Mytilus edulis: one gene and its partners. The protein of the gene in region 2 purifies or fractionates together with the protein of the main gene of each other region. This does not show direct contact. Links are inferred from orthologs where the notes say so. Each region holds a gene or a part of one and is shown on either strand. Other genes may lie near its edges.

Region 1 (7,891 bases), on a different chromosome or scaffold from region 2:
AAAATATTGGCCATTGATTTGAGAATGTAACGTCAGATTTGGACGTCGATTCCACTATTATGTACAGTAGAGAATGAAGGAATACTACAGATTGGACAGTACCTTTAAGTATTTTTTCTTGGAATATAAAGATGTCTTCCCCTTTCAATGATTAAAGAATGTCTTTGATTCATTGTGTACATGAAAGAAACTTTCATAAACTAAGTTTAAAAGATTCCTGTTATTTTGCAAGCACTGATTATAAATTCTTTGTTTAAACAACTATTTATAACAACAACTGAAAAGATATATGACTATCATAAATTCTGTACAAATATCTTTAGTTTTGTCATTATACATGTAGGAGTTCTAGAACATTGAAGCATTGAAAATTTTATTAACAATAGTATTTTCCATACCTGCCAACCTCTTAAACTTTCAAAGAGGGAGATCTATCTCCCACAGCTATGACAGCGGGAGGGTATCGGCAAGCGGGAGATTTCCCGATTTTCGCCATCTGAGTGGGAGTCTCCCGCTCAAAACGGGAGGGTTGGCAGGTATGGTATTTTCTGAATATGATAAAAGTATACAATTGACAGTTTATCATTTATCTAATATAATAAAGTACTATTAAATAATTTAAGTGTTTAGGTAAATCAAAAGCTTGTTTGCTAAAAAAATATATTTAACATAAAAAGACAATTCCGCGGAACCCAGTGTCTCGCCTACTTTTGCTGTTAATCACACACTCATCAAAAATGATGAAAAAAATCAATAAAATTATTCCTCTCAATACTATCTTTTGATTGTCAGAAGCTTCTATCCAAGTTTGGTAAAAATCCAGGCTAGTTTAAGAAACTTAAAAATGTTTAAAACTAAGTCCATCTATAAGTAAAATACGGGAAAAAGGGAATTTTATTTTTACAAAATTTACTTCTGGATACTATCTTCTGATCATAAACAAGCTTCTGGCCAAGTTTCTTACAATTCCAGGATAGTTTAAGAAAGTTATTAAAATTTTAAAAACTTTAACCAGAGTGAATTTAATGTTTCCTGGCAGAAAAAACTAAGTCCATTTATAAGAAAAATACGGAAAAAATGGAATTTTATTTTTACAAAATTTACTTCTGGATACTATATCCTGATCATAAACAAGCTTCTGGCCAAGTTTTGTACATTTCCAGGATAGTTTAAGAAAGTTATTAAAAATTTTAAAACTTTAACCACAGACATTAACAGAGTGAATGTAATGTTTGGCAGAAAAAACTAAGTCCATTTATAAGTAAAATACGGAAAAAATGGAATTTTATTTTTACAAAATTTACTTCTGGGTACTATCTTATGAACATAAACAAGCTTCTGTCCAAGTTTCATACAATTCAAGGATAGTTTAAGAAAGTTATTAAAATTTCAAAAACTTTAACCACAGAGTGAATATATGTGGACGCCGCCGATGACGACGACGACGCTGACGGAATGAAGGATCGCTATGTCTCGCTTTTTCGACTAAAGTCGAAGGCTCGACAAAAATGTTTCTTTATCAAAACAGCGCATCTCACAAATAAAGTCACCCTATAATCGCATGACTGATATTAGTGTTTCATTAGAGACGGAGTAGTTGTTGTTTTTTTTCTATTAACCCTTTCAACGCTATACACGGCATATGCCGCGATGACGTACGCCGTTCGCCACTGCTATTCGCGGCATATGCCGCGATGAAAAAGGATTTTTCATAAGGACTCTTAAACCATTCGGTTTTCATTCGGGTTCTCTCTAATTTTTCCTCGTTTGAATCTAGGATATGCAAGGTCTCATTTGCGCTTGAAATCCCGACAATTTTTATAGTAAAATCATGCAGTAGAAGGAAAATAGAAGGAAAATAAAAACAAATATTTTGACAAATGCAAATGGCGGAAATCGGAAACGAAGCTGTAAATATGGAAAAATTTCAGCATTTCCTTGGCGAAACTTACAACGAGGATTAGTTAAAAGGTTTCTTGTTATCTCATTGTGTTTATTACATAAAATTCGTGTGGGAAATATGATTTGATAGATCATTACGAGACGTAGAAAAAGGGGGGGAAACGGAGGTTGACTGAAATTTTTTAGGACGGAGCTATTTATTTGTGCCACGATTACATAAAACGTTATGTATGGTACAATACGCTACGGAATCGGGCAACTGGTGTCTTCTTTACAATATGGCAGATAAAACAACAAAATAAATGAAGACTAAAAGTAGTTTTTATTCAAAATTCAACACAAATGTAATAAATTACACCTTTTACCTGTTAATTACCTGAAAACGCAGGTAACCTGATAAAAATTTCAGTAAAATAATTGCCTAACATTACAGTTCATGCTCTCCTGAGCATTTTTCATGCAATAACTTTCTCTGTATCTCATATAATAAAAAAGATACAGCAGTCTGAAAAGGAAAATACTGTTCTAATGAATGTACTAAAAAAAAATGCAGCAGCAGCAGCCATTTTTCTATTTTTTTGTGTAGCGTTGAAAGGGTTAACAATAAAAGTTCTAAATCAAAATGAAACGATCCGTGTTAAAGAAAATCTCATGTATAAGTTTTCTGTTTCTGTCTAGCCTCTTCATAATTTTCACAAAATAGTAAATAATGTCCCCCAGTTTCTAATTGAAGTAATTCAGTAATTGACCCCATTCACACTTGGGATCTATATTTAAATTGATTTTGTTTGAGTAATTTCTTAGGTAGTATCCTAATCTTAAATTTCTAATAATTTTTGTTGTTTAATGATCTGGATAATCATAAAACCAATATTTGGATAAAAAAGGGGGGGGGCATTTTTTTCTTTTTTTTCTTAAATTATTTACTGCATGCAATGTTTAAATTTTGCCAAAAAAAAGAAAATACATATTTTCTTATAAAGACCTTTATATAGTGATGGGAATGCGCCTACGTCCGCATCACAATCATAAATTGCAGATGCTTATTTTTGAAATGTTTTCACATTTGTTTCTTCATTTGCCGGAAAATCGTCAAAGTGAAAGAGTGATTTTAATTGGACAGATTTCTAAAATAAGCCAATGAAAATCCTTGACTTATCATATTTACAGAAATTCTAACAGCCAAAACCCACTGAGGAGATGGATACAAAGAATCTTGTGACAGAAGTAATTATCTATTTTTTGATAATTTAGCCACAGGCCAGCTACTTGATGTTTCTTAAAAAATAAGGTTTTGATCTTAATTTCTAAACATAAAATAAAAAAAGGTTTCAATTTTGAGGGATTTTTTTTTATCATAAAGTCAAAATTTTGCCATTGCCATAATATTTGGCATTGACATTAAATAAAAAATTAAAAATTTAATTAAAAAAATTAAAAAATAAAAATTTAGCTATACTGTCTAAATAAAAATTGGATAATGTTAAAACAACAAAATATCGACTATAATTTCAGTTCTCAGCCAGAGTATCAATTACTAGAATTTATTTAATTTGCTGAATAAATGCAAAAGTCCAATACAGCATTATATCATTTTTTTTCAAATGCTCCCTCAATATGGGAAGGAAGGGATAATGCCCTTGAACACATGAATGATGTTCACCTAAACCAAACTGGCAATGGTTTTTTTTTTGCGGAAATACAACGACCTGGATAGTGGTCTAATATAGTTGATTATTTGTTGTTTTAACAGTATCACATTTTTGTCAAGCCTACGACTTTTATGGCAGAAAGCTTGACTTAGGGATAGTGATCAGGCGGCGGAGGCTACTACGGCAGCAGCGGTAGCTAACTTCTTAAAAGCTTTATATTTTAGAAGGTGGAAGACCTGGATGCTTCATACTTTGTATATAGATGCCTCATGTTACAGAGTTTCTGTCTGTCACATGTGAATTGTCCTTGACCTCATTTTCATGGTTCAGTGACTACTTGAAAAAAAAAGTTACGATTTTTTGTAACGTTTATTTCTCTCTTATTATGAGTAAAAGGATAACTATGTTCGGTATGTGCATACCTTGCAAGGTCCTCATGTCAGTCAGACAGTTTTCACTTCACCTCGACCTCATTTCATGGATCGGTGAACAAGGTGAAGTTTTGGTGGTGAAGTCCATATCTCAGATACTATAAGTAAGAGGTCTAATATATTCGATTTTATCATTTATGGGTAGACTGTAAGGTGTACATGTCCAACCGGCAAGAGTCATCTGACCTTGACCTCATTTTTAAGGTTCAGTGGTTATAGTTAAGTTTTTGTTTTGGTCTATTTTTCTTATACTGTATGCAATAGGTCTACTATATTTGGTGTATTGAATGATTGTAATGTGTTTATTTCTAGCTAGCAGGTGTCATCTGACCTTGACCTTATTTTCATGGTTCAGTGGTCAAAGTTAAGTTTTTGAGTTTTGGTCTTGATTTTTCTAATACTAAATGTATATGCAATAGGTCAACTATATTTGGTGTATGGAACTATTTTATGATGTACATGTCAGTCTCGCAGGTGTTATTTGACCTTGACCTCATTTTCAGTGTTCATTGTTAAGTTTTTGTGTTTTGGTCTGTTTTTCTTAAACTGTAAGTAATAGGTCAACTGTATTTGTTGTATGGAAGAATTGTAAGCTGTACATGTCTGCCTGGCATGGTTCATCTGACCTTGACCTCATCTTCATGGTTCATTGCTCAATATTTATTTTTCTTGCTTTTAAAAGTCTGTTTCGTAGAAACTATAAGCAATAGGTCAACTATATTTAAAAGTGTATTGAATTTGAATGATTGTAAGGTGTACATACATGTATTTCTAGTTTGGTTTATATGACCTTGACCTCATTTTCTTGGATCATGTTAAGTTTATGTGATAGTTGTAGTAAAGCTTTATATTTAGGACATAATATCAAAGATAATTAAAGAAGGCGAGACATTTCAGTGTGTGCACTCTTGTTTAAAAACATATTCTTGGTGATAAATAAAAACCTTAACAATCCCCTCTTTGTTTTAACAAATGTTTAAGTTCTTCATCAGTCATGTCAGTATCATGATTTAATGAAAATCACTTTTAATGAACACACTTTAAATAAAAACCACACATATAATTTCGTTCTAATGTGTAAACACATGTTTGTATATGTTCACTGATGAAACAGAAAGTCCAATGTTCAATAAAAATTACTTACTAACTTACATTTGTTGTACTTACTTACTACTGTAAATTTAGAAATTATTGCGTGCATTCATTATTGGGATTTTGCAATTTTAGACCAAAATGCAATTTTAATTTTTGCGATATTCAGAAAAATCCTATTTGATTCATATAAAAAATTTCAAAATGCAATTTTTATACGACCGCAAAAATTAAAATTTTTTCTTCGTATATTGCTATCACGTTGGCGTCATCATCCTGCGTCGTCTTGCGTCTTGCGTCTTGCGTCGTCCGATTACTTTTAGTTTTCTCACTCTAACTTTAGTAAAAGTGAATAGAAATCTATGAAATTTTAACACAAGGTTTATAACCACAAAAGGAAGGTTGGGATTGATTTTGGGAGTTTTGGTCCCAAAATTTTAGGAATTAGGGGCCAAAAAGGGCCCAAATAAGCATTTTCTTGGTTTTCGCACTATAACTTTAGTTTAAGTAAATAGAAATCTATGAAATTTTGACACAAGGTTTATGACCACAAACGGAAGGTTCGGATTGATTTTGGGAGTTTTAGTTCAAACAGTTTAGGAATTAGGGGCCAAAAAGGGCCCAAATAAGCATTATTCTTGGTTTTCGCACAATAACTTTAGTATAAGTAAATAGAAATCAATGAAATTTAAACACAAGGTTTATGACTACAAAAGGAAGGTTGGGATTGATTTTGGGAGTTGAGGTCTGAACAGTTTAGGAATTAGGGGCCAAAAAGGGGCCCAAGTAAGCATTATTCTTGGTTTTCGCACCATAACTTTAGTATAAGTAAATAGAAATCTTTGAAATTTAAACACAAGGTTTATGACCATAAAAGGAAGGTTGGGTTTGATTTTGGGAGTTTTGGTCCCAACAGGTTTTTAGGAATAAGGTGCCCAAAGGGTCCAAAATTGAACTTTGTTTGATTTCATCAAAAATTGAATAGTTGGGGTTCTTTGATATGCCGGATCTAACTGTGTATGTAGATTCTTAATTTTTGGTCCCGTTTTCCAATTGGTCTACATTAAGGTCCAAAGGGTCCAAAATTAAACTTAGTTTGATTTTAACAAAAAATGAATCCTTGGGGTTCTTTGATATTCTGAATCTAAAAATGTACTTAGATTTTTGATTATTGGCCCAGTTTTCAAGTTGGTCCAAATCGGGGTCCAAAATTAAACTTTAAATTGAGAATGGAAATGGGGAATGTGTCAAAGAGACAACAACCCGACCAAATAAAAAACAACAGCAGAGGGTCACCAACAGGTCTTCAATGTAGCGAGAAATTCCCGCACCCGGAGGCGTCCTTCAGCTGGCCCCTAAACAAATATATACTAGTCCAGTGATAATGAACTAATTTCCAAATTGTACACAAGAAACTAAAATTAAAATAATACAAGACTAACAAAGGCCAGAGGCTCCTGACTTGGGACAGGCGCAAAAATGCGGCGGGGTTAAACATGTTTGTGAGATCTCAACCCTCCCCCTATACCTCTAACCAATGTAGAAAAGTAAACGCATATCAATACGCACATTAAAATTCAGTTCAAGAGAAGTTGTTTGATTTCATCAAAAATTGAATAATTGGGGTTCTTTGATATGCCAAATCTAACTGTGTATGTAGATTCTTAATTTTTAGTCCCGTTTTCAAATTGGTCTACATTAAATACCAAAGGGTCCAAAATTAAACTAAGTTTGATTTTAATAAAAATTGAATTCTTTGGCTTTTTTGATATGCTGAATTTAATCATGTACTTAGATTTTTGATAATGGGCCCAGTTTTCAAGTTGGTTCAAATCAGGATCCAAAATTATTATATCAAAAATTGTGCAATAGCAAGAAATTTTCAATTGCACAGTATTCAGCAATAGCAAGAAATCTTCAATTGCACAGTATTGTGCAATAGAAAAAAATGTTCAATTGCACAGTATTGTGCAATAGCAAGAAATCTTCAATTGCACAGTATTGTGCAATAGCAAATATTTTCAATTGCACAGTATTGCGCAATAGCAAGAAATATCAAATTGCACAATATTGTGCAATAGCAAGAAATATTCAATTGATTGGAGTTATCTTTCTTTGTCCAGAATAGTAGTTGAATCAACTTAAATCATTGTTTTATACAATGCACAATGTATATTCACTTTTACTACCAACTGATAAATTAAAACACTCTTTACCATTCAGTGATAACAAGCACTTTTTGTTACATTTTAATATTTTATTATGTATTTAAATGAGTAGTTATTGTTGCAAACTCCATTAGAAATTTGAATTGAGATCAGTTTTGAAAAAAGGGAAAGGGGGATGTGAAAAAAAAATGGTGGGGGGGGGGGGGGTTTATTTTTCTCATTTCAGATTTCATAAATAAAAAGAAAATTTCTTCAAACATTTTTTTGAGAGGATTAATATTCAACAGCATAGTGATTGCTCAAAGACAAAAAAAATATTTTAAGTTCATTAGACCCCATTCATTCTGTGTCCAAAACCTATGCTGTGTCAACTATTTAATCACAATCCAAATTTAGAGCTGAATCCAGCTTGAATGTTGTGTCCATACTTGCCCCAACCGTTCAGGGTTCAACCTATGCGGTCGTATAAAGCTGCGCCCTGCGGAGCATCTGGTTAATTATTGCAATGATTACCCTGTTGCATTTTTCGCAATAATAAAAACATCACAATAATTTCTGAAGTTACAGTATAATGCATTTTTTTATGCCCCACCTACGATAGTAGAGGGGCATTATGTTTTCTGGTCTGTGCGTCTGTTCGTCCGTC
Region 2 (7,199 bases):
TAAAGTCGAAGGCTCGACAAAAAATAATAATACGATGCAACACTATCCTTCCAGTAAAAGCATTTTTATTTTGACTTTCTTTGCATTTTACTCAAGAGTGTGTCACTTCAATATAGCGAAATCTGGTTGGTCGCTGGAATATGCATGAATTTATTATTAACGATTTCAATCAGCCTTAATTTTTGTGTCTGCTCAAAGTAGCATGTTCTCAAATCCGATTGAACGTGTCTTTCTAATACAACACAGGGTACATATATAACGTGTTGTCGTTTTCATATGCACATGACATTTGTCACTGGACGTTTAGGTGGTACCCAACACTACAGGGAGATAACTCTGTAAAGTCAGTGATACGTTTTAATTACGTTGTGTTGTAAAGGGAATAATAAGCTTCTCGAAGATCAAAATTGGTGTTTGTCAAACTGCTATATAACCAGTTAATTTTTCTGACAAAACGGTTGGTTCAAATTTTTTGAAATTTTTATATTTCTGTTAAAGGTTCAAATTAAATACTTGTCAAAATTTTATCCAAATTAAACGAACCACATTGATTTCAGTGAAAGTGTTCGGTACCACCTTAATCCTAATTCCTCAGCATCATCCAATTGTTTTTTTTCTTGTATTACTTAATCATCTGTTGTTTACAAATCATTCTAAAGAAGTAAATGGAAAGAATCGAATGCAGCTACATTTGGTTGTATTAGAATTTAATTCATTTTATTCCGTTTAGTTCCCTTTCTACATATGTGCAGAGGAGAACTGCAGGTGTCCACATGTAAGCGTCAAGCATTTGTCACCAATATGAGTACATCGCAATCCGTTACTGTTTCAACACCCAGGGGGTTTCATGTCTTTATTCTTAAACAAATTGTTTTCTTCTCTTTTTTAGCAATGCATCACTCTCTACTGTCCTTATCTTTTATTTTGTATTCTGTATCTCCATCCAGATTCTCGTGTATACCATGAGGGTACGGATTGGGGGGTGTTGTTTATTTCTGTATTCTTTAAATAGTTTTGTTACTTTTCTCTACATTTTATTTATCTTACCCATTATTCTTTCTCTATTCTTTATATTTAGGCATCCCAATATACTGATGTTTAGTTACATTACGACGTTAATCTCTGATTTATATACTGGTTACCAATGTAGATGACAAATTGGTGTCATTCATGACAATTAAACAGAATCCACATGATATATGCGACCATTTTCGGATAAAAACAATTTTACTTTAATTTAACACTTTTTGAAACCATTTTTATCAATTTTCAATATCCATTGCCTACATTGTTATTGTTCATGTGTTTTGTTCCGTATATTTTATATTCCATTGCTCATGTTTTGTTTCCGTATATATTTTATGTTCCATTGCTCAAGTGTTGTTTCCGTATATTTTAGCCGCTTGTCTTGAGCCTACCAAATGAACACACCATAAAGTAATAAAATTATACTTTTATTGTCATTCATAACTCTTAACAGACTAATTAACAGACCGGGTTTTATACATCCGACCCATTAACAGACCAGGTTTTTAATAAAGATTGATTTATGTCACCAAAATACAGATTTTCGTGTAGATTTTTCACAAAATGATATCAATTTGGTTGACACTCATAATGCCTGTCTTTTTTCGATGTTCAAAATAGTGCATGCAAGTAAATTCAACCCAAATGTCATTTTGTGTACATTTTGTGTGTGTAAAATGTGTATAAATTTACTGATGAGTAATTTGCCTTTTCATTTTATAGATCGTACATAGAAGCTAGAAAAATAATAATTACACCACAGGATTCAGTACATTGAATAGTTTTGTCAGACATAAATATTTTTTATGATAAACATATATTTAAAAGGTTATACAATGAAACATTCTGAGTTTTCAATGATTTTCTCGATAACACCTGATTAACAGACTTTAGCCAACCCGATTAACAGACTCACTGCCGATATAGCCGCATACTCAATATAGATTAACCGACCAATCTCTCGGTTAGCCGAGTGTCGGCCGTGATACTAGCGTCGATTTTTGTTTTCCTTTTTTGTTTTCCTTTTTTTTTTTTTTTTTTTTTTTTTTAAAGTTATCGTTAGTGTTATCCAGATCATCTGCTATGATGGAAACTTGGGAACTACGCTTATAGTGTCTAAATCAGTTGACAACTTTAAAATATTTTAGTTCCAAATTTTCTGTTAAAAAGTGTGGGATTGTGAAAAAATCACCTTCATCTATTTTTTTTTACTGTATCAAGATTTTGTTCATGGGCGACTGGACTGGTATACGGGCGTTTTTCAATAAAACTGAATTTCAGACACAAAAAAAAATGGAAAATCAACTTGTTTAAAATTTTATTTCGAGAGTTATTTTGAATACCTCTATTGTAGACCTGTTTGTATATAAAAAGTGCAATCTTAAATACTCTTTAAAATGATATTATTTTCTTAATTTATGTACTGTTCCGTAGGGGACTTTTGTCCACTACGAAACTGCTTCTAAACGCACATCTTACTGCACTTTAATGTCTTCTATAGACATTCCAGTTTGTTTTACTTTATATACTAGAAAGATCTAATTTTTGTCTGAATTGGAAAACCATTTTTTATCGATAAAGATTAGACAGTACTTCACATATGAAGGTACAACTCATGTTACGTAGTGGACATTTTGATGAGTTTCGTAGTTGACAAACCCGTTTCGTAGTTGACAAAAATTTCGTAGTTCACATCAACCCTATTCTATGTTGATAAAAACATACTGAAAATTACATGAAACTAACTCTTGTTATTTGTTTTGCGCGAAATAATTGAAAAAAAGAGTAAAAAAAAGACTGCATGGTAGTGGTAGTGTCCACTGCGAAATATAGATTCCACAACTATTTCTCCACTCGAGACAGTTAAATTTTAATATTTAAAGGGCGAGGCTTGTCGAGCTTTTGAAATAATTAAAATTTAACTGTTGAGAGTAGAGAAATATCGTAATACACGAGTAATTACAGTGGTGGAATCTGTTTCTCTTATGATTTTTATCCTCCCTTTTCAAAGATTTGAGAAAAGTTGTGTACTTTTGGTGTGACGTCATCAGGCACGGTCACCTTTTTTCATTTTTTTTATTTTGACATAAATTCAGTGTAAGAATTAAGTTTCTAGGGACAACATCAAAAGACCAATGTGCATGATAAAGCAAAAACGGAATTCACATAGTTAAGTCTGTGGCTGCTGTTTTTTTTAAAACTCATGATCAAGTTCACAACAAAACTACAGTCCTAGATTACAAAAAGAAATGCAACACTAACAGAATACAGAAGGGCAATCAATGAACAAAAGACAAATAAATACATGAAATAAGAAACATTGATCCCGACAAATCAGGGCTACGTCTGAGGAAAAACAGAACTTGCTTTTTGCAAGGGACTCGCCGTGAACACAATTTGATATGGAGACAAGTGTTTGGTTTTGAAATTTCCTACATGAGGCATTTGCCTCAATGTAGTTAGGCATTTGCCTCAATGTAGTTACGGCCCAGTTAAAATAAAAGTGAGGCAAGGTTTCCTGAGACAATTTACCTCAAGTTAAATGAAACCAATTTTCAGACATTTCACATGTTTCAAGTATATTTGAATAATATTTATACTTTTATTATTAAAAAATTGGGAAGAGTTTCCCGATTTTTTTTGGGGAAAAGATGAATTTATGAAGAATCTGGTGCCATCTCATACTTTCGATTAGACCTGCTGAGTTATTTATTTTTGATTGCAAGTCAGGTATTTTATTTTCAAACTACCACAGAACAAACCATTTATTTTTGTGATTATCAAGGCCAAGTTATTTATTTTCAAAATCCTCCTGCCCCCTCCCCCCCCCCCAGAATATCAAATGGTCGTCCCCTTAATTTAAATATTAAAATTTTAATAAGATTGCAAAAGTTCAAGCTGCCGGGGCAGCGGCGAGATTAGCGATAATGTGTATTGATTATGGACTTTCCCAATTGATCTTCCTCTAAGTTCAGTATTTTTGTGATTTTACTTTTTGAAAAACGACCATATGCATGCCTCTTTTAAATTTTTAATAATTAAATATTTTTTAATCCGCATTAATATTATTATTGTTGTTGTGTTGTTGTTGTTGAGCACTTATATCCAAAGGAGTTCCAGAGAACTGATATGGGTCGACGGTTTTGATCGAATAGTGGCGAAAGGAATTTGGGTCGAATAAAGGTAGATCTGCTGAAAGAGTTGACGTCCCCGTAAACAAGAGTAGGTGCTCTGCTAAATGAAACTGCTTTACATCTAATGAAGGCATTCTAAGGTCATATGACATTGTTTGAATATGTGGTATTTAGCCGCAGTGTTTTTGTAAATATATAAATGCCAAGGAGGATGACTGGTTACAAACAGTTGTACGCATTCGTTTGCAAGAGAAAGTCTGGTTTCCCCAGTAAATTATTTTAAAACTCAAGTTTAATCTTAATATTCATCATTGATCATCGTGAATATCTTAGTTTAATAAATTATTTTATATAAAGCTTGCTAACCAGACAAAGGTAACTGCCAATCATGCTAATAACTGAATACCACAGGCACTTGTTTCTATCCATAGGAAGGTCGACTATCCATATATATAAACAGATAAATAGATGGATAGTCGACCTTCCTATGGATAGAAACAAGTGCCTGTGCTGAATACACCTCATCACTATTTCAGGGGGGTTCTGATTCCAGATTACTCTTATTGTTTTGTCAGATTCCCGTATCCCGCTTTAATAGTCTTTATGTACCGTGTAATTCTTGTTTTTTTGTAATTTCCTGTGTCCCGCTAGACTTTATTTCCCGTTTTCACAGCACAATAATTTTACTCTCAAGTGTCACGCTTACAAAAAAATGGCAATCCTGTGTCACACTTAGACCACAATGACTGAATGAGACCCACTTTCAGTATTTGGAAATATATGTGCTGGTTTACCTGAGAATAGCTCGAACTATTGACGTCATACAACAATCAATTATCAATTATCCATTGTGGCATCAGATATTTTGTATTATGATGTCAAAATTTTATGTAAACTTTTGTGATGTCCTGTAATAATGCGGACTAATAGGGATAAAGTCACATGCACTTGCCTTAAGATAAGGTGTATAAGGTACATTTGTATCTTCATTTTACACTTTGGGGTATTTAGCTGAATTTGCCCTCAGAATGACCCTAGCTGGATCTTGTCAGTCTTTAGTAAATAACCATCTGAGGTCATGCAAAAATCACTTTAATTAGGCCGTTCATGGGACATATTATGGTATACCATTAAAAATGAATTGTCTATCAGTCTGTTCGTCCTCAACTGGTTAAAAAAGTTGTATCTTGTACTGCACAGAATATATTGGAAATTAAATCTAATAAGTTGGTCACCCTCGCTTCAGTCATAAGGAAATTAAGATTACCTACTTACGAAACATAAATCATGTAAATTATTTCTAGACTGTAGCTTCCATGCAGAATTACAATGTATGATTGTGAAATTGCTTGAAACTTTAATAGCGCAGGGATACAGGCTCGCCTTAATCTTCTATCTGGTACATTTGTAAATGACATCATAAAGGTATGCAATATTTATCATGGAGGACATGACTCCAGAAATGATGTATAACTAAAAATGTCTGTAATATGTAGATGGTCTATATATTAATTATGAGTTAAATTGTGATGACCAATTTGGCTGAAACTTACTTGTAACTTGATTTGAAGTAATCATTACTAATGACAGGTGTAAATGAATTACATTAAGACCTCAAAAGTGCTACTATAGTCTCTTTAATATATTCATTTGGTATATAAGTAAGTCTGTTCAATTCGTTGCAATAAGGTGAAATGAAGGCACTTACTTGAAAAACCAAATTACTGTCCATAATCATATAGGAAACAATTGATAACCATGGATAACTGTCATTTTGTTCAACTTGGATGACATTTTTTATCAAACCTTAAGGTGTTACATTTTAATTAAGACTAATCATGCTAATGTGTGTGTCAATTTCTAATCCTTAAAATTTCCTCCAAATATTTTTTTATACTTCAAAGTTGGAAGTACTTAAAATTATGTGTCAAAATACTTTTAATTGCAATGCTGACCAATGTTTTCTTTATCCAGTATAACATGTTCAAGTCAGTTTGTTAACAAATATTATCATGATTATGTTGATGAAATGATGACTTACTGGGGGCATGGAGGAACGATTGAGTAATGCATATAATTTTCTAAAGGTTACTAACTTGTGTACACCTGATGACTACAATAACATAAATAAACAGTGCCGTGTAGTGGTGAGGGATGGGTATTGGACGAAGAATCTGCTTTATGGATATATGTCTATTTGAGTCTTTAAAAATGCTGGTATGAACAAACAATACATTTGCAAGTATATATATACATGTATACATTACATTGTACATAATCTAGCAATTATGCAGAGAACAAATTTATTACGATTATAATAAACAGTGGTATTTTTCATAGATCTATTATTTTATGATTTTTTTGTAGATGGGTGACGTTAAACAGTTTTTATATGCTTGGTGTGGGAAAAGAAAGGTCACACCATGTTATGAGTTTGGCCAGACAGGATCAAAACATAAACCAAGGTTTAAATGTGAGGTATGTCAATATTTTGGAATTTATTAATGCATGTAAAACATTACAGCTCCTTTCCTAGCTCACCTGACCTATTACATGTTTTACAGGTAAGGAGTTGGCATAATTAGTCATTTTAGTAATCATAATCAGACTTCCACAGTAATCGATCACATTGCTTTAATGACTTATTTAGAGTTTACATCTAATTTCCATTATCAGATACTAAGCAATTTACAAATGAACATTGAAAAACAGTTTGTTTAAGTAGCATCTAGTGTGAAATTTCAAGGTTCTGTGGCAGCAAAGTATTTGACATGGATTTAAAAATGATTTGAAAAATGTTGGACGATTTTTGAATCCCTGTCAGATATTTTTGCAGATACTGATATCATGGAAATGGTTGTAGTAAAAAAGTGTTAAAAATTGACAAACATATGCCTATTGTAATTGTATATAATTTGTTTACCTGAATGACGTCTTATTTATTACCCACTATAGGGTACATGCCTATCACACAGTCATCTACATTTGACCTTTCATTGCAATGCTTTGTTTTAAAATCATATGTTTGGAATTTATGTG
Region 3 (7,229 bases), on a different chromosome or scaffold from region 2:
TTAAAATTAGAAAGATCATATCATAAGGAACATGTGTTTTAAATTGTTATTTGGATGGAGAGTTGTCTCATTGGCACTCACACCACATCTTCCTATATCTATGTGTACTAAGGCCGAGAAAAAAAAGACCTGTGTTTCCGGTAACCCGACCGACCCTGTTTTTTAGCCCCGACCCTAACTTTTTTATTGGATCTTCCAAAAAAAAAAAAAAAAATTTATCAACCGACCCTGTTTTTGACACAGGCTTCTGATAGATGACATAATATTTTTTCTCTCTTGCTTCCTCTTGCATAGAAAGCCAGTAAAACATTTTATTAATGTCAAAAGGTATTCCAAATAGGTTAAAATCCAAGAAATTTGCACAACAGGTGCTTCAAAAACATTGCAAATGGCACACTTCCGGTTTTTGAAACTAATTACGGATCTGGACTTGGAAAAACCATGATAATTTTCCGGATTTCATTTACGATGTCAAAAAAAAAAAAAAAACAAAAAAAAAAAAAGAATTCCGACCTACCGACCCTATTTTTTAAAATGATGTTATCGGAAACACATATCTTTTTTTTTAAGGCCTAAGTTTCAAGTTGATTGGACTTCAACTTCATCAAAAACTACCTTGACCAAAAGCTTTAACCTGAAGCAGGACCAATTGACATACAGACCAGAAAACATAATGCCCCTCTACTATCGTAGGTGGGGCATACAAATAATCAAAACAAACTTGAAATCATAATTAGAAGTCTTGATACATGTACATAAGGGTAACAAATCTTATAAAACTTCATTCTTGGAATATTAAAATTTCACCAATGTTAAAATTAAAGACAACATACCACCTCTGTTGTAACCACTTCCTCTATTAAAGCCCCCATAATTCTTCCTTCCACCTCGTTTTCCAAAAGATCTTTGTCCACCACCATGACCTCCTCTGCCATTGTCTGTCCATCGGTCATCGTGGTCTAAATAACAAAATATCAAAGTTATATCAGAAGTCCCACTTCCAGCCTCCATTGCTTTGAGTACATTCTATTCAGCATAGTGTTGTCTAGGACCGAATATCAAATACCCAAAAATGCTAACCAGTTAAATGGATTTTTTTTCAATTTTAATAGATTTGATATAAACATGATAAAATATATCAAATATTATGTAGACCTACATCTGAATGTTCTCGACATAACCCCCGGTTTATCGGATTGTTAAGGTACGCAAACACGACCGTGCATTTGAATGACAGTTTCCTAAAAACACTAGCTGAGTCTTGTTATCATCATAACTTTCCCTCAGCTATCAAAAAGAAGATGAAAACATGCTTTTATTCATTTTACCGGACATTAACTTGATAAATCCTGAGCAATTCCAGAAAGAATATGACAACATGACAAACGCTAATTGGATAAATGCCAAGAAGATTGAAATGTTTTCATAAACATGTGTACCATTTGAGCAACGGAAAATTCCAACAGGCACTACTTGATGCACAACGCTCTATTTTTAGAACGAAAGGATATTTCAAATTATAAATATTATAAAAATAGATTTACGCAGACGACTGTAATCAGCTCAGGGTAAATAACGCATACGAAAACGAATAAAAGTGTGAAGAACTCAAGGTTTTCGCATATAATTGGGTTTTCCTTTGGATGAATTGGGTTTAAGAACTATATCTACATCATACGACAATCCATCAGCACATTGATAACTATATTATCCCCTGCAATGGGCAATTGCATTGGTTTTTAATTATTTGTATTGCGTGATCACGCAAATACGCAGCTTATCTGGAGCTCTGGGGTAAATTATTTTTATTCTAATAGACGCTGGCACTACATTTCACATCTTCGCTAGCCAAGGGTTACGATCCACTCCAGAGAGCGAGAGTGGATCGTAACCCTTGGCTAGCGAAGATGTACATTTCACTACTGAGTACTTTAATTAAGTTAAAGGCCCTTTACACTCTACATGGATGACTACACTTCATGATACCTTTTACATATAACGTGACGGTACCCAAATTGCACCTATTTTGACAGTTTTTTCATCTACGTTTTTTTATCATGAAAACAAAAATGTCCATTCTGTGTTTATTTTGTAGCCCTATCTTTCTTTATTATAAAGGTACACCAATTTGATTTTTATTCCATATGGAATCATAGAAAAATTGGTCTAAACTGACCTCCAAACCATCAATGATTCTGAAATGAGGAGTACCCAAATTGCTTCCATGCTTTAATTCACATAGTCAAAAGTCTAATAACAGAGCTTTTGTTTAATTTCTTTAAATATTTTGAACAATTGGACATTAGTCCAAGCTTACTCTTCATTATTTTTTAAATGGATACTTGTAACATATTGTATTTGTTCATTTTAAAAAGATGACGTTTTGATGACGCGACGTTTCAGTACATTTTGCTTTTTCAGTAAATACTTCATCTGTTGATAGATACTGTGAACGTTTTGTGCATATCTAAATAGTTTTACCTATGTTGAAAGATGTGCTTAGTATCAAATCATAAAAAAAACAAATTGTTTAGTCTCTAGAAAATCTTGTAAGATTTTCGCTGCTAGTTTTGCTAAAATTATTATAGGTGCAATTTGGGTACTCGGTGCAATTTGGGTACCGTTACGTTATACATATAAAGTCCCCGATATGGACACAGTCTATAAGTTAACATATTTAATCGAAATATATAATAATGTCCCTAACCATAAGCATAACCCAAACCACAGGCCACTAAACAAGCCCCTGTGCCCAAACAATGTTTTCTGAAAATATGTGCACAAATTCTTTTAACCGTGTATAATTATAAAACCATTGGCCTTGAAAGTCAAAGATATTTAGCTAGATAATAATAAAAACCTCCAAATACACGTCTGCCATCACGACTTGTGGTAACTTTAAACTGGCTCATAATTAATCTGTTTCAGTTTCTTTTTTAGCAGTCCTAGGAAAAAATTGCCGTATGGTTAGAAAATGTGCTTGCTGTTTACGTCATTGATTGATGCGTAGAATCAATAAACTTGACGCAATGACGGATTTAATTCCGTATCTTAAATATTTTAGAAAAAACTCCATATTTAAAAACATACTTGGGGTTCATGGAAAGTCTTCCAATCTAGCAGTTCGATGCGAAATGGTCACATTACCCATAAGCATTAAATGTTATCAACTTGTGTATAAATACTATGTGCGTCTCAGTGATATTGGTGAAAGGTCTGGTGAAATTCTCAAGGCTGCTTTTGAAGTGGACAAAACTCTCACAAAAAGAGAAAATTCATGGTCTAATATATTTATATCCGAATTATTAAAATATATTTGAAAAGTCCTATGTCTGAAAAAGAACTAAAATCTAATTGTATGTACATTAATGAAGCTCTTAATTTGAGAAACCACCATACTGTTTCATCAGAAAATAATAATTATCCTTTATAGTAGTTTATGCATTTACACATTTATCTTTTATAGGTGATCAGTGGCGGATCCAAGGGGGGGGGTCCGGGGGTGCGCACCCCCCCTTTATTTTTGCCGATCAATGCATTTGTATCAGGACATATGTTTTGCACCCCCCCCCCCTTTGCCCTGGGTGCCCTAGGTTAGCACCCCCCCTTTCGAAAATTCCTGCATCCGCCCCTGGTGATTGTGTGATTATTAAAGTAAAATTATGAAAATTTTGAATAATCGGGATGTGTATGGTATCAATATCAGTTTAAAATGTAATGGTATTCATATAATATACTTAGAATGTTATGGTACCCATAGAATTTACTTAAATTACAACTTGTTGTTACATGCATCTATATTTCATTTATATGTTGTTTTAATAATGCTATTGTCTGTATTTGGATCACGCCTCTATTGTGCTCTTTCCAATAAATATTGAATTGAAATGGAAAATATTTCATTAATGGTTATATACTAGTAATTTTTGAGGCCCTTTATAGCTGCTGTTTGGTGTGAGTCAAGGCTCCATGTTGAAGGCCGTACCTTGACCTATAATGATTTACTTTTATAAATTGTTACTTGGATGGAGAGTTGTCTCATTTGCACTCATACCACATCTTCCTATATCTTAGATCATTTAGAACGCAGAAATATACGTTACAAATAAACAATACAATAGTACATGCTAAAAGTTATCAAAGTTACCAGACTTATAATTTAATGCACCAAACGTGCGTTTCGTCTACATGATAAGACTCAGCAGTGACGCTCAGATAAAAAAAAGTAATAAAGCCAAATAAGTGAATAAAACTCATCGGAAGATACAAGCTAAGGCTAACATTACAAAATTTCACCATAAGGAGACAAGTGTACAGCGGATGACATTGAGATGTTATTCCGAAGTTATGCTGAAGGTTTTTTTCTGATGAAGACTGTCATGTCTAACGCCTTAACTTTATATGTTTCTCTTTGATCAAAGATTTTTAATCGCCTTGAGTCGTTCATCGTCCATAACGCTATGGCACTTAAGGGTCACAAGTTTGATTTGCGATGATGGAATGCAAAGGTAAAGTAAAGTATTTCCCCGGCATAATGATCTTTTATATCGGCTATCATGTATTTTTTAAATATCTAAAAGAAATATAAGCAGTTTTATGTCAAGACAAACATATTCTTTATCTTTAACATTTTTGATTTTTTGATTTACAACATTGCTTAAAAGAACGACGGAAAACAAATGCAAATCCCTAGTTAGATTTTGAAATATGGAGCAATCTGCATAATTATGACCAGCTATAAATTGTAAAAAGAAGGGCGGCGCGTTTTATCAATAATGACTACAAATCAAGAGATGATGGATGCATCACAAAAATGACAGGTAAATAATTATCTACAGGGTGGTTGATGGTCAGGTATCATTGATGCCGACTTCTACATTATCCAAAACTAAAAGATGCCAAAACAAACCCCCAAAAAATCCAAGACTAAATTGTGGAAAGATGTTAAATCCCGCATCAACACAAACAGTAAAGATCCATCAAACCACCAATTTAAAAGCTCATGTTTCATCAGAACTGCTGTCGACTAGCTGGAACAATCTTTTATATAGCAATGTGACTGCAGTCAAGTCAACCAAAAGCTTCAAGCAATATATATATAGCTGCACTCAGGACTCATGATTTGCGGTATCCGCACCCCTAAGTAATAAAGCCCATGCATACCCATACTTTACCCATACAGATACAGATTCCCATTCCGATGTTCTTCGCTTGAAAGAAAGGTATGACATGAGGGGACGATCAATTCATTTTACCAGGGGGTGAGGATTTTGAAAATAACTTGTTAGAACTGAAAATAAATAGTTTTGCACAACTTTAGATATGATGAAAATAAATATTGTGCAACACAAAATACAGGCGTATACAAAAGCCGCTGGAAAAATAAGCATTATATGCATGTAGCAACAGATGAATGTAAAGACCAATCTAGAAAAATCCTACTCCCCAGAATGTCAGATACTCCTCTCAGTTTGCAGAGTTTTGATTCATGGGTGACATTCCATTGCTATATTGTATTCGGAAAAAATGAAATTGTTTGTACGTTCTAGCGTACTAATTAAATGATCCCATTGAAACGGTAATTATTCCGAAGATTATATCCAGATATAGATGATATTAGTACTGGGAAGATGATAAGCAGCTTTTATAAGATAAAATGTTGTTGTGAAAAAAAGGCGTTATATATTACTACGGTCTGACAATCATTCGAGAATACAACATTCCACTTTAGTAATAGTTGGCAAGGAGGTTGCATCTCAACGGTACTGAAATATAATGGTACCATGTACTAAAACATGTATAGTGTTCTGAATTTGATCATGCAAACATATCTTTTAATTTGCGAAGTACTACACCATGGTATTTTGATACGTTTCGTCATCAAGTGATTAGATTTTTTATGCATGAACTTTTTTAATGGTTTACAGTAATATGAGTTTAGATGCAAACTTCGCCTTGTATCCAACTCATAATGCTGTCTTTCTGAGTTTATGATTCTGGTCGGTATTCAAATTCAAATTTAGCATCATCCAGTAAAAATGTCGAAGCATTTTCTCAAGGCAATTTTTTTTTTAACAAGGATTGAAATGAAGGTAATGTTACGATGCATAATATGTGTTATTATTTTAAAAAAGATATTTAGAATAGCGTCCACAATTCAGAAATTACTAATAAGCACGTTAATATCATTATATTTGATTCATACTCTTTTTGTCATACTCTATCTGAGTATTCTAAATACCTTTTCTTTAAAAGGAAAGTAGAGGTGCGACACTGCTTCCAGAGTAATATAAGGTTTATTGTTATCAGATAAGACTTTCACTAGAGGAAATAAAATGAAATCATACAGACATTCTATCATATGGGTTTTGTTCATTGTTGAACGCCGTAATGTTACCTATAGTTTAATTGTTATCTATGTGTCATTTGGTCTCTTGTGTAGAGTTTTTTCACAGTGGCAATCTTACTATATCTTGTTTTTTATGTTCTATCAACAATTTTGTTACATAGTATATAATTAAAAGCAATACTTAAACAACCAACCATCAATCAGCTAAGGGCAAACGATACAGTTACCAGGGGGGGGGGGGGGGGGGGGGGGGATGACGTTGCTAACGTAAATTGTTATTTTCGAGACGTCAAACTATGACTTATCGAGAAAAGATTTAGTTTTCGACTGATTTTTATCATTCAATCTTATCTAACTTGTAAACGAGTTCTTGGACGCCTCTTTTTTAAAATGCCATTTGGTTTGATTACGTAAGAAGATTATGTGTGCCAATTTTCATGTAAACGTAAATAGTGCATTTTTTTTTAAATTTGATAAATATGCAGCCAAAGTAGACGTTTTTTTCTACATTCGTGAACATTTAATAAATATGAGTTATTTGAAAAACAAATTGCACAAAATTAAAGGACATTTATATAAAACAGAATTTACAAATGATTTAACAAAAAACAGCTTGTGTTTATCCTTTAAAACTAAAAGGTTATGTATTTCTGTCGAAAGGATAAATACGTCCACAAATCCGAATATAAAATTTGGACCTTATTTTACTCAAAAAGTAATACATGAAGGTATACATTTTTTTTTATTACATATTTGATTTAATCAGGCAAAAAATAGCCTATATGCAAATGTTCATCAAAATTTCAATATGGAATCAAAACTGTATCGTATGCTCTTACGGTCGTCGTTGTTAACATTTAAAAACAATATGTCAAAATGG
Region 4 (7,811 bases), on a different chromosome or scaffold from region 2:
ATTATACATGTTATATGGTCCAATCAAAGTCTGTTTTAGCTAACTATACAGTATATACTTAACATGCTTAATGCTCAATTATGAAGGCTGTACAGTGATCTATAATTTCTTTAATCAGCTTCATTTGGAAAGGTGTTCATACCACCATTGTTTTTTCCCTATTAGTATTAAATTTGCACTTATTTGTATTAAAAAAATTGTGCAGAATTTTTATCTTTTTCCAACAACTGTCAAATTCAAATACCGCTTTTTGTATGCAACTGGATATGACGTACTATGATTTGGTAGTGCATTATTTTAAAGCTACTGTTGTCTCATTCATGTCATTGGCAATCATATCACATCTCTTTGGTTGAATGTAATGGAACCTAATCTGGTACCTGTTCCAGTTTCCTCTTTGCTGCCTGACAAACCAGTTTTTGATGCATGGTGGGTCAGGTAAAGGGGTTGACACTGTCTTCATGTAATCCTCATCATTCTCTGTGTATCTGTCTTTAAACATTTCCTCCAGCTCCTGGACTTTCCTCTCTATTTCTGTCATACTTGGTGATGAATCCAGGGAAGGTTCATCTGCCATTGTGTTTATATAAATGTTCTTTGGATCAATCTTACATGCTGTCTGAAATACACAAATTTAAAAAAAGTTCATTGTTTTTTTAATTTAAATTTATAAATTAAATTTCATAACTAAAAAGTAATTAATTTATAACTTAAATCATCATTTATTGTTAATATTTTGTCATGTTCATAGATGTTTGTATCTGCATTTTCAGCTATTTTAGGTGGGAGTAAGACTGGTTGATGGCTTACCATCCAGACAAATGCACAGTCCTTACAGTATCTAAAAAAAAACAACATTTTAAACATGACTATATCCTGCACAATCACAAATTTGAACTAGTCACTTAAGCTAATTGTCTGGGCATTACGCTATGTAACAAGCAAACTTAAAATGGTCAAAACACACAGACAACATCATAGCTAATCGGTAACAAATCTTTGGGCTTCTTTAAAAGAAATTTTAAAACATCATCCCAGAATATCAAAACCCACGCATATCTGGCACTAGTTCGTCTTAGCTTGAATTTTCCTGTTCAGTATGGGACACTCACACAGTTGAACAAACCTCTAAAATTGAGATTGTTCAAAGACAAGCTGCAAGAAATGTACGTCTGTAACAGGTACCATAACATTTGTAGTCCTACAGACATGATAAACTCACTAAACTGACCCACACTACAGGAAAGAAGATTATGCACAAGATTGTTCATCAAAATAGTACATCAAATCATAGCAATCCCATCTGCTATCCTCATACCATCAGACAGTATAACCTGCAAAAATCATAGTTTCACTTTCAGACATATTTCTACCAAAAAAGATACATATAAATTTTCATTTTTTCCGTACATCATTAATCAGTGGAATTATCTACCATCCATACAGTTGTTGTGACCACAGTCCACACATTCAGAGTACAGCTTACACCAACTGTTCTCCACAAATTTATTTAACTCATCATAAGCCTATGTACATAGTTTTAATCACAATTTAAAATTATTTTTACACACTCCAAATTCATTTTCAATTATTTTTGTGCTTTGTAAATATACATGTATATCATGTATATATAGGCCACGCAGCGCAAAACAGTATATAATCTTCAGATAATGAAGGACTAACGAAAATCTAAAGAAGAAGAAATATAGTAGACTTATTGCATACAGTATACATGGTATAAGAAAAACAGACCAAAAAACAAAAACTTTACTGTAACCTAATCAATGAAAATGAGGTCAAGGTCAGATGACACCTGCCAGTAATGGACATGTACCCCTAACAATCCTTCCATAAACCAAATGTACTATTGACCTATTGCTTATAGTATCTGAGATATGGACCATAATTTGCTATTGGGCTCCGTTTCCTATAACTATAGAAAAGTGATAAAATGTGAATTACTGTAAGAAAAGTTGTAACTACATCTAAAGATGCCATTATTTTTATCAACATACAAGTGTATGCTACTCTTCCCTAGAAAAAAAATTGAAATATACGAATTTCAAAGATTCTACAACCGTATTTTTGTGTCGTTTCTCACGTTATTTTTTGCTTCCGAAGAGCATAACGCGGACTGATTTATAGATAATCGTCACCGGCAAATTCGTAACTTTTGCTTTCAAATAACAAAGAACATCGACCAATAAGAATAGTGAGAAGAAAATGCCGAGAACTATAAGTATTTATGTAGCAGATGTAAGAACAGTGGCGTGATTTTTGTGTCCGATTTCGTAACGCAAATTTTAGATGATGTAATCTGCTTTGTTGTAATAGAATTCTTAAAAACAATATGCAAATATGAACTCTCGCAAGATGTTCAAACAGGTAAATCAGAGTTGATTTACATTCTTGTTTTGATCTTCGTAATAATTAAGTAAGAAAATGACGTTAGCGTTATGCGTTACATTTCACACGAAACAGAAGTCCAGTTATTTATTAAAATTGTTTTTGTCCTTAAGTTCTAATCATTTCCGGTCATACGTGAAACATGTGACTAACATGTGATAACGCCATTACGGCCGGATGTACGAAATACTAGGTCTAAACATTGTTTTTGTTTCCAACGGGATGTTAGCAAACATAATCTGTAGACTTGTTTCGTCTTGTTTAAAAGAGGAAAATACAATTGTCAAAGAGATTGCGCCGGTGGTCTGTTATTTTTCCTATGTGCATAATGTTACATACGATCCTGTGTGAAAATAAATGCCCAATGACTTGACAAAATCGATTTAATATTTGACAGACGTTAGAACACACTTCGTTTCCCGATAATGACGTGAAGAGTCCTTGGAAAAATCAATCGAAATTACGTCTCTTATCATTGTACCAATGCTCGTTGGATTGATTTAACTTCAGCAGTAAATATTACTGGATATTTTAGGTGAATAAATATAATTTAATAAAAAATACATGTTAATATACCGTTACACTTGGAATGTACAAAGTTGGCATCTTGTCACAGTTTTTAATTAATATTTTTTATTCATGTTCTGCAAACACTTATCAGAAACGCAATAAACTTGTCAAAGGAGAAGTAAACTTTTACCATGCATGACTTGAAAGGAAGTACTTTATTGATTTTAGCCCACTAAAGTAGGTTAAAATGTGGAAACCATGTAGATGGTGTACAGGTCACAAGTATCACATTGTGCCTATTTTAAAGATTTTAATTCCAAGTTAAAAGGTTTTTTCTTTACTGGATTTAAAGAATGTTACATTGCCAATGATTTGGAATAAATTGTATATAACTGGAATTTCAAAACCAAATATAAATACATTTTTTTGGCTAAAACATCAAGAAACAACGATTATGGTATCCTGTATCAATGAAGAAAATATGGAAATTCCTGAATAAATTGTACTTATTGTTTTGAAAACAAGCACATATTTAGGAGTTTTATAATACTGTTAAATTTAAGATGGATTTTAAGAAAAAGTATACGGTTCAGATTATTTTAAGCAGATTTTGCAATAAAATAAAACTAAAAAAATGCTTTCGGTTTCTTATGGTTTCCTGTCACATTTAAAAAAAACTTTAATATAACATTGAAAATAGATTTTAAATATTAACATGAAGCAAGTAACACTAGTAATGGTGTTTATTTATGCCTTTTGAATTATATTGTGCAAAATAAAGATAATAAAGATTGGTTTCCTGTTTGGTTTCCTGTCACATAAACGGTGAATCAAAATGTATTAATTTTTTCTCGAAAAACTCAATTGTTCCGTTCATACTATTCCAACACCAACACAACCCACAAAATAAAAGTTAAAATTTTAGACCTTATAAAAAAGGATACAAAAAGAAACCAAAGGCCGAATACCAAATTATGGTCCATATGGATTAGTCCAAATAATTATGACATCTTGCATGGCTTTTTTTTCATGAACGCCTTCTGTCTACAAGATAAGGACACGAAGGATACAAAACTTAACCTTGTTCACTGATCCATGAAATGAGGTCGAGGTCAAGTGAACTCTGACCGACGGGCATGAGGAGTGACGGACCTTGCAAGGTACACACATGTATACCAAATATAGTTATCCTATTAAACATAATAAGAGAGAAATTAACATAACAAAAAATCAGAGCTTTTTTTCCCTGAAGTACATGTAGTCACTAAACCATGAAAATGAGGTCAAGGACAATGGACATGTGACAGACAAAAACTTTGTAACCTACAAAAAAGTAAGGCATCTATATAGCTTATACAAAGTATGAAGCATCAATGTCTTCCACCTCCTATAAATGAAATCTTTTTAAGAGTTAGCTAACGCCATGAATGCTGCCGCCTGATGACTATTACTATGTCGAGCTTTCAGCGACAATAGGACTGTTGCTAGTACAAGTCACCAGGAAGGCGGAACAGCAAAATCAAAAATAGCCTTTCTAGACAGCATGATTTATAAATTTGGACTAGACTGTTGCCGAATTTTTTTTTATATCAGTGCCAAAACGTCCTGCATCGGTTTAACGGTTTGGTTGATGTCACAATGACGCATATGCAATATCCCTTCTCTTCATGTTCGTGCTCTGATGGGTTTACTTGACTGTTTGTTTTTCTTCCATAATCACCTAAATTTACCTTTTCTATTGTATTCTAACACCTTTTCTGCTGTTTATTGTATTCTAACACCTTTTCTGCTGTTTATTTTTTTTTAACCCACGAGTGAAAAACAACCGGAAATTGAATATGGTGTGTAAAATCGTGTTCGGACGGAGGAAGGAAGGTTTTCCGGGAAACCATGGAAAAATGTTCTTTCACGCGTGCGTTGCATTCACCAACATCCGGACGTAAACAACGTGAGCCGGCATTCAAAAACAATGAGGTTTATGTCTTTTAGTATTTGATTAAGCTGATATTTATGTACAGAAAACATTACCAATATTCGTCAGTTCTTGAAAAAAACCTTTTGGCAACAGAACAATTCGTACTGTTCTTTGCATTTTCCTTTCAACAACAACATAATTTTCAAGTCTGAGACAATCACATTTATGATCATTTGTCATGTTTGTAAATGAGAGCCAGATAATTTTACCTCTATTGTCACAGGGTAATATGGCCACTTAATCTTTGTAAATAGGGCGTTGAATATGTGACAAAATACAATGTTGCAAACCATTTATTTCACACTGAAAGTAGGGAAAAAGTTAGGTGTCCCTTATGTAGCGTGCATGCTAAAGTGTGTGAAACTCGCATTAGTACCTGTTCACCGTATATATAGTGCTAGAAAAAGTGGCGGGGTTGTATGCATAATAACTTTGTGCAGAGTAGTATATAGAATAAAGTCTTTTTCTAACTGTCCATCAATGAATGAATGTATGAATGAATGTAGTAAATATATAGTACACACAACATATAGTGTAGTACTAGTATATAACTGTTCTCTAATAAATAGCTACGGTGACACTATAATTTTTTGTAATGCACAAATGGGATTCAATTTCAGAACACCTGACACAGTAAACAACAGTAAATTACTCTTGTCTCTGAAGCGAAGTGAAGAGTATGAACATGACTGTCATTAGTCTGAGATTACTCTGACGTCCAACGGCTGTTTTGCCAGACAAGCTGAGACCGTGGGATGTCAGAGCTTGTCCCATATCAAAAAGTGGATATTTGCCCACCCAAAATAGATGTGCTGCTTTGTCACTTCTGGTGCCGACTGACAGCCTTGGAATTATATAAATCGGCCATCATTCATTTTTCATTTATTTTTTCATTTATGTAAGTTTCACCTACCTGCCAACCTTTATTTTTCCATATTTTAACAGTTTTCACAGAGACCTATCGATTTCTGAACTTTGACTAAGGTGTTACAGGGTTTCTTCAAATATATAACAACAAAAGACTATTGTTTTACCAAGATTTACACAAACTAAAATATAATTTTTTTGAAAATCTCTTTTTATTGTTGATGAAAATCACATCATAAGCATTTGTGTTAAGGTTCATGTGGACCAGTCTGTTACCCAAATTATCAAAATTTTCTATTGATAAAATTCAAATGCATTGTATGTTTCGAAAATTAAAAATTCAACTTTTTTACAGTGCATTTTTATTCGTCCCTGCATCAGATGATAAAATTAACAAACTGTCAAGTTTCACTTGATCTGGTCCACTCAGGTACACAGTTTAAATCACAAATTATTGTCAAGTATCTATTGGCTACATGTATCTCTTGTCCATGTCAATCAATTCAGTTCACTTCAATAATTACCTATGGAGAGATCTCAAAACCTCTTTCTGCCTTGTTCAAGCATTTTTTATGATAATTGACTCCTTTTAGACAAATACTCGCAAGGAATACAGATTTGATGCACCTGTATTTAATTACGTACACAAATATGTTGAAGGATATTTTTTGATTAGTGGATCTAGTTTTTAATTGTAAATTCAGATACATTTGTATTCTAAAGTTGTACATGACATACATGACAGAGTGCTGAATTTATGCAAGCAGTGTGTATGTAGAAATAAAAATTTTAGCAGGATGTTTTTTTTTTATTAATGAAGATGAAATTAAGATTGAACAATGTTAATTAAATTTGATATATATTTTAGACACATGAGAGGAAGAGGAGGACCAATGAGAGGTGGTATGATGAGGCCCATGGGACCAAGACCACCGTAAGTATACAATGGTCATTATTGAGGTACTTGTATGATACACTATATATATATAGCTAGATGTAAACTTTTTATGAAATTAATTTGAAGTACATGTGGTCCTATCTGTCAAAATCAGAATCTAAAGGTCAAGCACCTTCTACTCTAGCAAAAATCTCTTGGAAGAAAACAAGGTACCAAAATATAAACTGAAATCCATCTTTGTTTGTTACAGAGCCAAAATATAATACAATTTCACTTTTTCCACCACCCTGACTATATGGAAAGCCCACACCAGAGGTGGATACTGGAAAATCTGTGACCTTTGGTTGATATGTAGAAGAGGCCAGAAGAAATTTAAAAGTTTTGTTTAAAGTGGGAAGAATAATTATAAAAAGTATTCATTAGTTTCATCAGGAATACGGAGTGAAATTCTAGATACAGATAAAGGATTTATATTTTATTTGTCAATGAATTTACCATTCAAGACAGCAACTGAAAACAACACTCAAAAAGTGAAACCTGTCTTGATGTCAATAACGATACATTCCTAAACAAAAGACAGATGTCTAAACAATAGTTTTGTTGTACATGTATCTATTTTTAAATGCATAACTAAAACTCATGATGAAATTCAATTTTATAAGCATACATAATTGTATGTTTCAATTTGAAACAAGTGCACATATTTTTGAACATGTTTAGTTCTGAATGAATTCTTTTCAAATGAAAATATATTATTCATAAATTTACAAAGGGATAAAATATTTCTTTCTTTTTACAGATTCAGAGCCTTCATACCACATATTCCATTTGATCTAGTTCAGGTAAAGGTCCACACAATAATAAGTGACTGTTTATCATGTAGATCTATAAAAGGACTTACAAGAGAACAAAATACAGTCTTATAGATTAACATATATATATATGTCTATACAAATTACAATATTTAAACTTACTATTCTATGTAAAATGCCAATACATTTCACAACAGACAGAGTCAAAAATATGCCAATAGAAATACACTCTAGTATCAAAATAGCAGAAAGCTTTAAGATATGACAGACCACAACTTCTAATGAAGTTTTTGACTTTATAAGCACTTGAAAATTTGATAGTATATCTTTGTTCTAGGATATT

Evidence for each region.
Region 1: the proteins of ATP-dependent RNA helicase A-like (region 2) and endoribonuclease Dicer-like purify together in Homo sapiens (co-immunoprecipitation; 3 studies listed by BioGRID and IntAct, with this or other methods). This does not show direct contact. The link is inferred for Mytilus edulis from reciprocal best matches to the Homo sapiens genes DHX9 and DICER1.
Region 3: the proteins of ATP-dependent RNA helicase A-like (region 2) and nuclear RNA export factor 1-like purify together in Homo sapiens (co-immunoprecipitation; 4 studies listed by BioGRID and IntAct, with this or other methods). This does not show direct contact. The link is inferred for Mytilus edulis from reciprocal best matches to the Homo sapiens genes DHX9 and NXF1.
Region 4: the proteins of ATP-dependent RNA helicase A-like (region 2) and interleukin enhancer-binding factor 2 homolog fractionate together in Homo sapiens (co-fractionation; 5 studies listed by BioGRID and IntAct, with this or other methods). This does not show direct contact. The link is inferred for Mytilus edulis from reciprocal best matches to the Homo sapiens genes DHX9 and ILF2.

The regions. Positions count from the first base shown.
Region 1 is NC_092346.1:84,422,077-84,429,967, reverse strand, and holds the start of endoribonuclease Dicer-like, read right to left. Parts: upstream 3,024-7,891; 5' UTR 2,888-3,023; intron 1-2,887. Other genes in the region: alpha-ketoglutarate-dependent dioxygenase alkB homolog 6-like, read left to right, coding at 3,103-3,129. UniProt on the Homo sapiens protein: Double-stranded RNA (dsRNA) endoribonuclease playing a central role in short dsRNA-mediated post-transcriptional gene silencing.
Region 2 is NC_092345.1:50,208,136-50,215,334, reverse strand, and holds the start of ATP-dependent RNA helicase A-like, read left to right. Parts: upstream 1-4,196; 5' UTR 4,197-4,248; exon of another isoform or gene 4,249-4,300; intron 4,301-6,527; coding exon 6,528-6,638; intron 6,639-7,199. UniProt on the Homo sapiens protein: Multifunctional ATP-dependent nucleic acid helicase that unwinds DNA and RNA in a 3' to 5' direction and that plays important roles in many processes, such as DNA replication, transcriptional activation, post-transcriptional RNA regulation, mRNA translation and RNA-mediated gene silencing.
Region 3 is NC_092346.1:23,919,904-23,927,132, reverse strand, and holds the start of nuclear RNA export factor 1-like, read right to left. Parts: upstream 3,024-7,229; 5' UTR 2,913-3,023; coding exon 2,861-2,912; intron 960-2,860; coding exon 834-959; intron 1-833.
Region 4 is NC_092354.1:77,015,027-77,022,837, forward strand, and holds the start of interleukin enhancer-binding factor 2 homolog, read left to right. Parts: upstream 1-4,788; 5' UTR 4,789-4,885; coding exon 4,886-4,890; intron 4,891-6,626; coding exon 6,627-6,692; intron 6,693-7,455; coding exon 7,456-7,498; intron 7,499-7,811. Other genes in the region: RNA guanine-N7 methyltransferase activating subunit-like, read right to left, coding at 381-577. UniProt on the Homo sapiens protein: Chromatin-interacting protein that forms a stable heterodimer with interleukin enhancer-binding factor 3/ILF3 and plays a role in several biological processes including transcription, innate immunity or cell growth.